2 linked regions of the Cricetulus griseus genome follow. Each later gene encodes a partner of the first gene's protein in a complex. Links are inferred from orthologs where the notes say so. Each region holds a gene or a part of one and is shown on either strand. Other genes may lie near its edges.

Region 1 (4,060 bases):
AGGATCCCCAATTAGTTCTACAGTATCGCTGCTTGTATCGGCTCCATACCCTGGACTCACACTGGACTTGCAGATCCCTACTAACTTCTGACCGAGGCTTCGGATCAGCATTTCCTATTGCCAGAGAGACCCTTTACAAATTCTCTATTTGCTCGTTTCTGCTGAACAAAAGCCGGCCATAAACCAGCTACATCTTTCCACATGTGTGTCTTCACCAAAGCTTTGTGAACTGTTCACAAGAGATTCCAGCTCTGACAATTAAACCCCTTTAGGTTTACTTAGAAAAGCTCACAAACTCATTCGGAAGTACCAGCAGGCTAGGCATGAAAAACAAGCCGCAGAGCTTGCCAATATTCTTGTCATTCATTCAGCTGTTTTATACCAGAGAGAGAACCCGTCAGGGATCAGAAGAGAACTTGGGGAGACCGCAGCAAAAATAGCAATATGCAAACTGGTGATTTCTTCCTTGGCTTGAAGGTATTTTGGCAAAATCTCTTAAACAAATAAAAACACCCAAGCCCCCCCCCTTTTTTTAGTGCTTTCTCAGCTTAGCCACAATTTTTATCTAGCACCTGTCAAACAGAAACCATGCACATGAAAAATAAGATTTAAAGAGAAAAAAAAAAAAACTACTGAAAGGCTTAGAATTTTTTGCTTTTTGTATTAAGCTCAGAACCTTCTACAATTAAACTGTATTTTTAAGATTTGGAATTTCGAATGTAATACATTTTTTTGAAGGTTTTGAGCAGGAATGTGATGATCCTGCTCTGGCTCCTTCTCCCTGTCTACTGGTATCTATGGAGTTGGGTTAACAAGCCAAAAACATGTATATTGGTTTTTCCTCTCATGGAATCAAACAGAGGTCTCAAGCAGGGAGCTTTTCAGACCTCAGCTCTATGAAATAACTGAAACCTTTTCAAACCACAGAAACAGTCTGGGTTGACTCTGTGTTTTATTGATCAAATTTAAAGGTGCCTTATAGATAATAAAGGTGGCTACAGATAAGGTAGCAACAGGGTCATCTAATTACAAAGCTGGTGCTAGGTCGTCTGAGAACTGTCACGGTGGCCCTCCTCTTAGAGGGAGTAACGTTAAACAGGAGCCTTCGCTGGACTGCCTGATTATTCGAGCTGGTGCTTGGCCAGACTTCCAACTACAGCAACTTCATAGCCTTCCTGCATTAGAAAGGGAGAGTACTGGTCACTGCTGAAAGCTAAAAATACCACATGATTTAAACCTGAAGGCAGTCTTAGAGGCTTTTGCTGGAGGTTTATGAGCCTGTGTAAACAGCACGGCTGCCATAAGGAGCAGTGGAGTCTGTAGAATCCTTGTCTAAAACTGTCCTGGCATTAAAGTTTGCTGTGCAAATATCACATAATACCAGAGACAGCTGAAATCTCCTATTTAGGAATTTATGGAACTTGTGTTTGCAGGCGTCAGAAAGTCTTTTTTATAGAGCCTCAGTGCTACACAGTACAATATTAATGCACTCTGTTTGAAAAGCCATAATAAATTATATTTTTAATGCTCTTGCCCTGGCTTAAAGATGCATACATTCTTGGCAAACAATCAATAAATAGGGTAATCATGAGTAGAGGCCAAAGAATTTGCTGAAGTGCTGTTTTTCCATTTTTAATAGATAAAGATCTAACAATACGGACTGCTGTGTCTGTTTATTTCAGGATCAATATATTCTTTGTTTTCGCCAAACCAAGGAAAAAATAAATGATTGTATGTATGATAAATGTTATGCATCAAACACAATGAAATTCCTCGGCCTCCTAACTTTCTCTACTTAATATTCGTGGTTGGTAAAAGATGGCATTTTTATTCTTTGCTTAGCAAAACCCAAAAAATCTGACTCCTATGTGTTATTCAATCACAAAATAAAGACCCTTGTGAGGCATACGGGATACCCCACATAGTAACTGCCCTGTGGGGACAACAAAGCCCAACACAGGCAAAGTTGTTAAAACTCCATCAATTTAATTTTGGTAGAAAATCACTTGTTTATATTTTCCCCTTTATAAACTTGCCTAAATTTTCCTTTCCTTTACCAAAAATACTCAAGGATAGCAAAAATTAACAACTACAATCAGCAAGTTTTTCACTGTTAAATATTACTTTGCTCTACAGAAAATAAACCACAATAAATTGCATCACAAATCTTTGATCTCATGTCAGATCCATGTCCTGAAATCCCCTTCCAGTTAGTAATCGCAGGAAAAAAAAAAAAAAAAAAAAAAAAAAAAAAAAAAAAAAAAAAACTACGATGATGCTTAAGAACCTCTGAGTTTTACTCTTCACCAGCCAAAGTTCAAGCAGCAGCCACCTGCACATCTGTAACTGCACCAGTGTCTACGAAGGGACCTGTGTAAACGAAGACTATTCAAATATTCCAATATTCCAGTCTTGGGTCAAAAGAGGCACCACTCAAAACCAGCACTCACGCTTTTAAGACATGATTGACACTACAGCCCAGAACATCACTTAATTTCACATCAGAAAGAGATCTAGAAAAAGAATATACACAGCATGTTCCAGTCCCACACCTCCACATAGGGTGGCCTTGGGCAGACACCAAGCAGCTTTCCAGGATTTGGCTGCTAAGTATTTACCTTTCCTAAGGTTGGCTTTCATCAGATGGCCCGAGTGTTTTAAAGGCACTCCCTGCATCTTTGCACCTGTGCTCCCAAGCCTTCCTCTTCCTAGTGGGCTTCCGTTCTGCTCCAGGCGGGCAATCTTGGCTGGTGGACCCTTCGGATCACTCACATTGTTAGACATTTCTGAATGCTCTTTCCCCTGAGTTGCCTCGTTCAAATGATCCATACTCAGTCACTGTCTTACAGATCACCTGCCAGAACTGGAAAAGAAGACGTTATCAGTGGGTGGAGGGCTGTAGTGATGCCTGCCCCATACACGTCTTATCCCTAGACATTTCTCTCCACAAACACATTTGTACACAAGACCCTGTTTCTATATAAATTAACAGAATACTGGGGAATCTGTACCAACGTACGTGAATAAAACAGTAATTTCTCAGCTAAAAGTCTGAGGAAAATAGGCTTACTGTCAGAACAAGAATACCACAAGGTAAAAAGAAAATAAATTATATTCATGTACTCTCAATTTTTAAAAATTAAAAATTTATGAAAGACTATGACTGCAATACTTCTAATGAAGAATGGAAAGATTATCAGTATAAAGCATCAATCTTACTAGGAGCTCATACTTTAACATACTTCGAAAACCTATGTTACAAATGAAAACCTCAGCAGAGCACTGCAAACACCCATTGCATTTTAAATTGCCACTTGCTTTAGGAGCTAAGGCAGTGAGAAGTTTTCTATCAGCTATGCTTCAAGAGTTTCGAGCTGTTAAAGATCTCAAGCCTCTGGACAAGCACGTGACCCCTAAGCACACAGGAAGGGCTCCTTTAAATGTCTCATAGCTTTAAGCAGGACAATTTGTCTGTTGGAGTTAATATTTAGGTGTTCATTGCTAACTGGGTGCTGTTAATTTAGGTAGAAAAGAACCTGAAAATATTTTGTGATACACACAAAAAGTACATATGTGAAGCTTGACTTAAAAAATAATCCCCATACTATTGACAAAACACAATATCCAATGTTAAAAAATAATAATAACCAGGATGCAAGGGAGTTAGCATCAACATAATTTCAAAAAATGCCAATTTTCAGTTTTATTAAATATTAGGCTTCAACTTTAAATACTGCTCATAATAAAGCAACTGGTACAATATAGCAAAGTTACTTCTAAATTAAAGCTATTTAAATAGCTTTAAATAGGGCCAGTTAACAGAGCAGGTAAGCAGAATTATGCTCTAAACTTTCATTAGCCTTGAAGTATTGGGGATATTTAGGAAAGCTACAGAGAATATGACAGCTGTCTAGTATTTTGAATTATCTTATATACTTTAAAAAATTATTATTATACTCAAACTCTTTGGACCTGGATCAGCTAAGAGACAGTTTGTGTTAGCATGGCTTTTCTATAAACATTTTTCTCTCATTAAGTCCATTCTTACTTCATGCTATAG
Region 2 (4,330 bases), on another chromosome or scaffold:
AGCAGCCTCCCGACTTCTGGACAAACTCCTAGGCCCGATTCCAGTCCTAAGCGACCTGCAGCCCAGCAGCACTCGGGCGTAGGCCTCGGCCCAGGCTTGCAGCATCGCATCCTGGCTTCTGCACCTGAAGCCAGAAGGCTAGCAAGTCAGAGGATTCCCTTTAATTCCTTTAACTCCGTGCCGACTCCAGGACTCGAGGCTGACGGCCCCTGAGACATTTTCTTGCTTCTGTCCACCACCCCAAATTTATTTCCAAGCAGGGAGACAGGGAACATCCGAACAGGGCCAAAGGCCGACTGCTGGCCTTGGTGACCAAGCTTCCACTAAACTACCCGTTCATCCTGGTGTCGTGGACAGAGAAGTGACACCAAGCAGGGCCACTTTTGTGCCACCCGGACTTCGCCAGCCTGGGAAAAGGGGCCATGCTACCGCTTGGTCGCCCGAGCCAGACCAACCTCAAGTGAGGCCTGGAAAAGCGAAGACTGGCCATAGGGACTTGGGAAAAAGAGCTGGATCCCAACACAAACACTCGTTTTCGTATTATAAAGACATTTATTTAATCTATGAAAATAATGTACAATAAATACTTTCCCCTTTTCCTATTATTAAACAATTTTAATAAATAATCTACCATCTAAAACTTAAAAAAGAGGAAAATAGGTCCCTCTCGTTCTTTTTAAGAAAACCCTCCCCCACTAGAGTTTAATTATTCCTGAGATTTCGTTGGAAGGTGGAATTTTTCTGTGTGGTTTTAAAAAGTGATAGGGAGTGGATTAAGCGCTAATTCATTAACACCTGATTTTAGCAAAACACATAAATTTGACTAGGGGTGGAGAAGGCTCGATTTTTTTTTTTTTTTCCTCCAACAGCCAAAGAGGACCAGGTGGAAAGGATCGAGGAAAGAAAAAGGTTAGGGAAACTGCAAGTCGATGGCACAGAGCGTGCTGGTGAAGAAGTCTAGCTCTTCCTCGGAAAAGGGGACGGGGCTGTCCAGCGAGCTCTGCAGGCTGGGAGAAAGACCTCCGGACATCTGGAGACAGGAGTCTGCAGCGAAGAAGTTGAGGTCCGGCAGGAAAGGCGAATCCGGCTGCTCAGGACAGGTGTCTTCGGGCAGGGTCTCTGGCTGCAGGCCTCGGGCTCTGAGCATCGTGCAGCCAGGGCTCGGCGCGCCCATACTCTCCAGGGAAGTGGCAGGAGGCGCGGGCGGCGGTGCGCCCTGGGGACCCTGCGCTGCCTCGGCCGGGAGGAAGCAAGCTTCTCGCAGCCGGTGAGAGGCGGAGGCAGGGCCTGGGCTGACTGCGGATTCCTCTGCTGGGTCTCCCGAGTCGTCCGGGGCGCTCGGCCCGCCTGGATCCCCATCCGGAGGTTCCCGATGCTGCGTCTGCCGCTTATGTTTCATGCGTCGGTTTTGGAACCAGACTTTGACCTGCCTTTCGGTGAGGTCCAGCAAGGCGGCGATCTCCACGCGTCGCGGCCGGCACAGATACTTGTTGAAATGGAACTCCTTCTCCAGCTCCAGCAGTTGCGTGTTGGTGTAGGCCGTGCGCAGCCTGCGCGAGCCGCCGCCGCCGCTCTCCGACAATCCCGGGCCATCTGCGAAGAAAGCACCCTGCTCCTCAGAGAGGTCTCAACCCAGCCTGGCTTTAGCTGAGATCAGGAGCACCCCATTCGCTAATAAATGATCAGCACTCCTACTCGGGCTCCCACCCCACCCCCCAAAGTGGTTCCCTCTCTGTGTCTTTGGTTTTGGGGGGGGTGAGATTTCCTTTCTTTCTTTCTTTCTTTCTTTCTTTCTTTCTTTCTTTCTTTCTGTGCTCTCCCACGCAGGAAGACCTGGCGGGGTCAGGTCGGTGCATTCAGAGCCGCCCACGGGCCACCTAGGGGGCGGGGAGCAATTCCTTTTCGCTCCCAGAACCTCAGAGCCTCCCTCCCTCAGTCCTCCCAATGGACCCCTCAATTCGGAACTTTCCACCTCAACCGGGAAAGAGGTATCTTCACCCCTTTCCTTCCTGGCTTTTGAATTTCCCCTGTTCTCCTAGGCATGGGAGAAATAGGAGGATCGCATCTTTTCCTGGCTTCATATTCAATCCCAGGCACAAGGCTTCATTCCTCTACACAGATAATGGGGAAACACTTCAATCGAACCATTTTCTTTTAGCACATAAAAAGCACCCTACCCCCTCCCAGTCAGCTTCCAAAATCTGCTGGGTGGGGGGAGTGGTGTTGGTGCTCGCAGTGGCTAGGCCTGGACCCCAGCGGAATAATCTTCTCTAACCCCAGAATCCATCGACACAGGGAACCCACCAGGCTCCCCACCACCTCACTTTCTTCCCTTCTCTTCCAGCTGCCCCTCACCCCGCCCCCACTACGCTTACCCACCTGAAGGTGATCCGACCCCGGAGACCCGGACCGAGGAAGCTGCTGGAGAAGGAGATGCGGCGGATTGGCTGGGTTTCTTGGCGGATTTCTTCTCTTTCATCCAGGGGAACTCGGGGGCTGGGGGGGCGGCGAGTGGTGGCGGTGGCCGCAAAGCAGGCCCATCTTCGGCTTGCTTTTGGCTCCCGGGTCTCTGAAGGGTGGAGGCGCCGGGCTGGAGGCTGGGGTAGGTTTGCTCCAGAGGAGGAGGAGGAGGAATTAATGTCGACTCCTTGATTGATGAAGTTTGAAATGTCTCCAAGACAGCGGGGAAGGAAGTCAGACACTCGGCGAGCGATGGCTGGCTGTTTATAAACCCAATCTCCCTCTCAAATTCAAAATTCATGGCTTTCAATGGTGGGGGAGGGGGCCTGCTGGGGGGGGCGTCAGGAGGGAGGATCGGAAGGGACCCCCTCTCCCGCCCCCCCCAGGTTTATTCAATGAAGCGATTTCGCGGGGGAGGGGGATTTCTCTCTCTCTTTTTTTTAAATTTAGGCCTTTATAATTGTATATTGCTGATAAATACACGCGTATGGGGACTCTCTCTATTAAACCCAGGACTCCGACGAAATTGCAGGGAATTCATGGTCACGGGACCGGTCTCCGCCAATCGCTCGTCTGGGCCTGGTGGAAAACACAGGCATTATTTGCTTTAATTGATTCAAAAACTCCAGAGGACCACGACCTGGATACCATAAGCCTTCCTCCTGTACCCCCATTCCAATACCAGCGCCCCACACTCTCCCCAATTGCTCCTTTTCCCCCCAAGAAAAGCCAGAAGAACCACTTCCTCCCCTTCAGAAACTGTGTGGTGGTGGGAACCTGCCAAAGGACCACATTTAAGGGAGAAGTGGGCTTCTTGTCTAAAGATTTTAATTGAGTCAATTAATATGCTTTCTTTATGTGGTCATCAGTACCTTCTCACCCTTCCAACCACCCCCCAAAAGAGCAAAAGCTCATTCGGGAGGAAGTGGGAGTAGAAAGAGGTTTCCACTCTTTGGGGGAAAGGTCAATATTAAGGTGAAAAATCAGAACGGAGATTGATGAATGGCAACACTAACCACCACCAGCCCAGTCCCACCCACCCTCTACATGCAGCAGTTCAAACTTAAGAAATGCACAGGCTGGCACGAAGCAGTCAGGTGCCAGGAGCACTTTGGAGCACTGGTCTCCCTCTCCTGTTAGCTGCCCTGGATTCTCTTCTCTGCCCAGTATTTACAGGCAACCCTTTACATCCACCTGCCTTCCTGTTGAGGTCATCTATACTCACACTCTGACACCCCAGCACTGGCCATGGGAGGGTCTAAGAAGGTCTAAGATGGCAGACACATTCATAGTCCTCAGGTTGTATCTATGGCTACATCCAAGGGCAACAAGGTAGCCATCCACATAACTTTCAAAGCTAAAGTCAATACATGGGGGGGGGCGCTTTCCCTCAGGACAAAGGGACTTTCCCTCCCATATTGGCTTTTGTGCAATTGTTTTTAATCCCTGCTTTTAAAAAAGTTCCCTAAAGATGAAGGGACGAGAAATAACGACCAGCACTGAGATTATATTCTGTTTACGGCCCCCAGAGGGGAAAATTTAATGTATTTTATTGTGAGAAGATTATGATAGGCTCAACTTTAGAATGTTGTAATTTACTAGAGGGAGGAGACACAAAACTCAGAGCCACAAGCAATTTGGTGGGAAACTAGGCCTCAAAGCTGAAAATGCAAAGTCGATCTGGGGGAAGATTTTTAAATAAGTGGGTCAGAGGGACCAAGAGGAGATGAGGCGATCAATCTTAACCCCCTGACAGCTCCCTCCGATTGCTTCAAAGAATTTGGCTCTTTGGGAAAGCAGAGGGAACAGCCTAAATTCCACATCCCTTAAAAAGGCCTGAGGGAGGGGGTAGCAAAAGAGAAAGGTGATT

What was found. The genes of interacting proteins can lie anywhere in the genome.
Region 2: Satb1 (region 1) and Hoxb2 share a complex: the UniProt entries of both Homo sapiens proteins name them as parts of the nuclear protein complex. The link is inferred for Cricetulus griseus from reciprocal best matches to the Homo sapiens genes SATB1 and HOXB2.

Annotation. Positions count from the first base shown.
Region 1 is NW_023276806.1:251,346,101-251,350,160, reverse strand, and holds the start of Satb1 (DNA-binding protein SATB1), read right to left. Parts: upstream 2,830-4,060; coding exon 2,619-2,829; intron 1-2,618. UniProt on the Homo sapiens protein: Crucial silencing factor contributing to the initiation of X inactivation mediated by Xist RNA that occurs during embryogenesis and in lymphoma.
Region 2 is NC_048600.1:109,508,645-109,512,974, reverse strand, and holds Hoxb2 (homeobox protein Hox-B2), read right to left. Parts: upstream 2,799-4,330; 5' UTR 2,762-2,798; coding exon 2,380-2,761; exon of another isoform or gene 2,345-2,379; intron 1,989-2,344; exon of another isoform or gene 1,594-1,988; coding exon 911-1,593; 3' UTR 530-910; downstream 1-529. UniProt on the Homo sapiens protein: Sequence-specific transcription factor which is part of a developmental regulatory system that provides cells with specific positional identities on the anterior-posterior axis.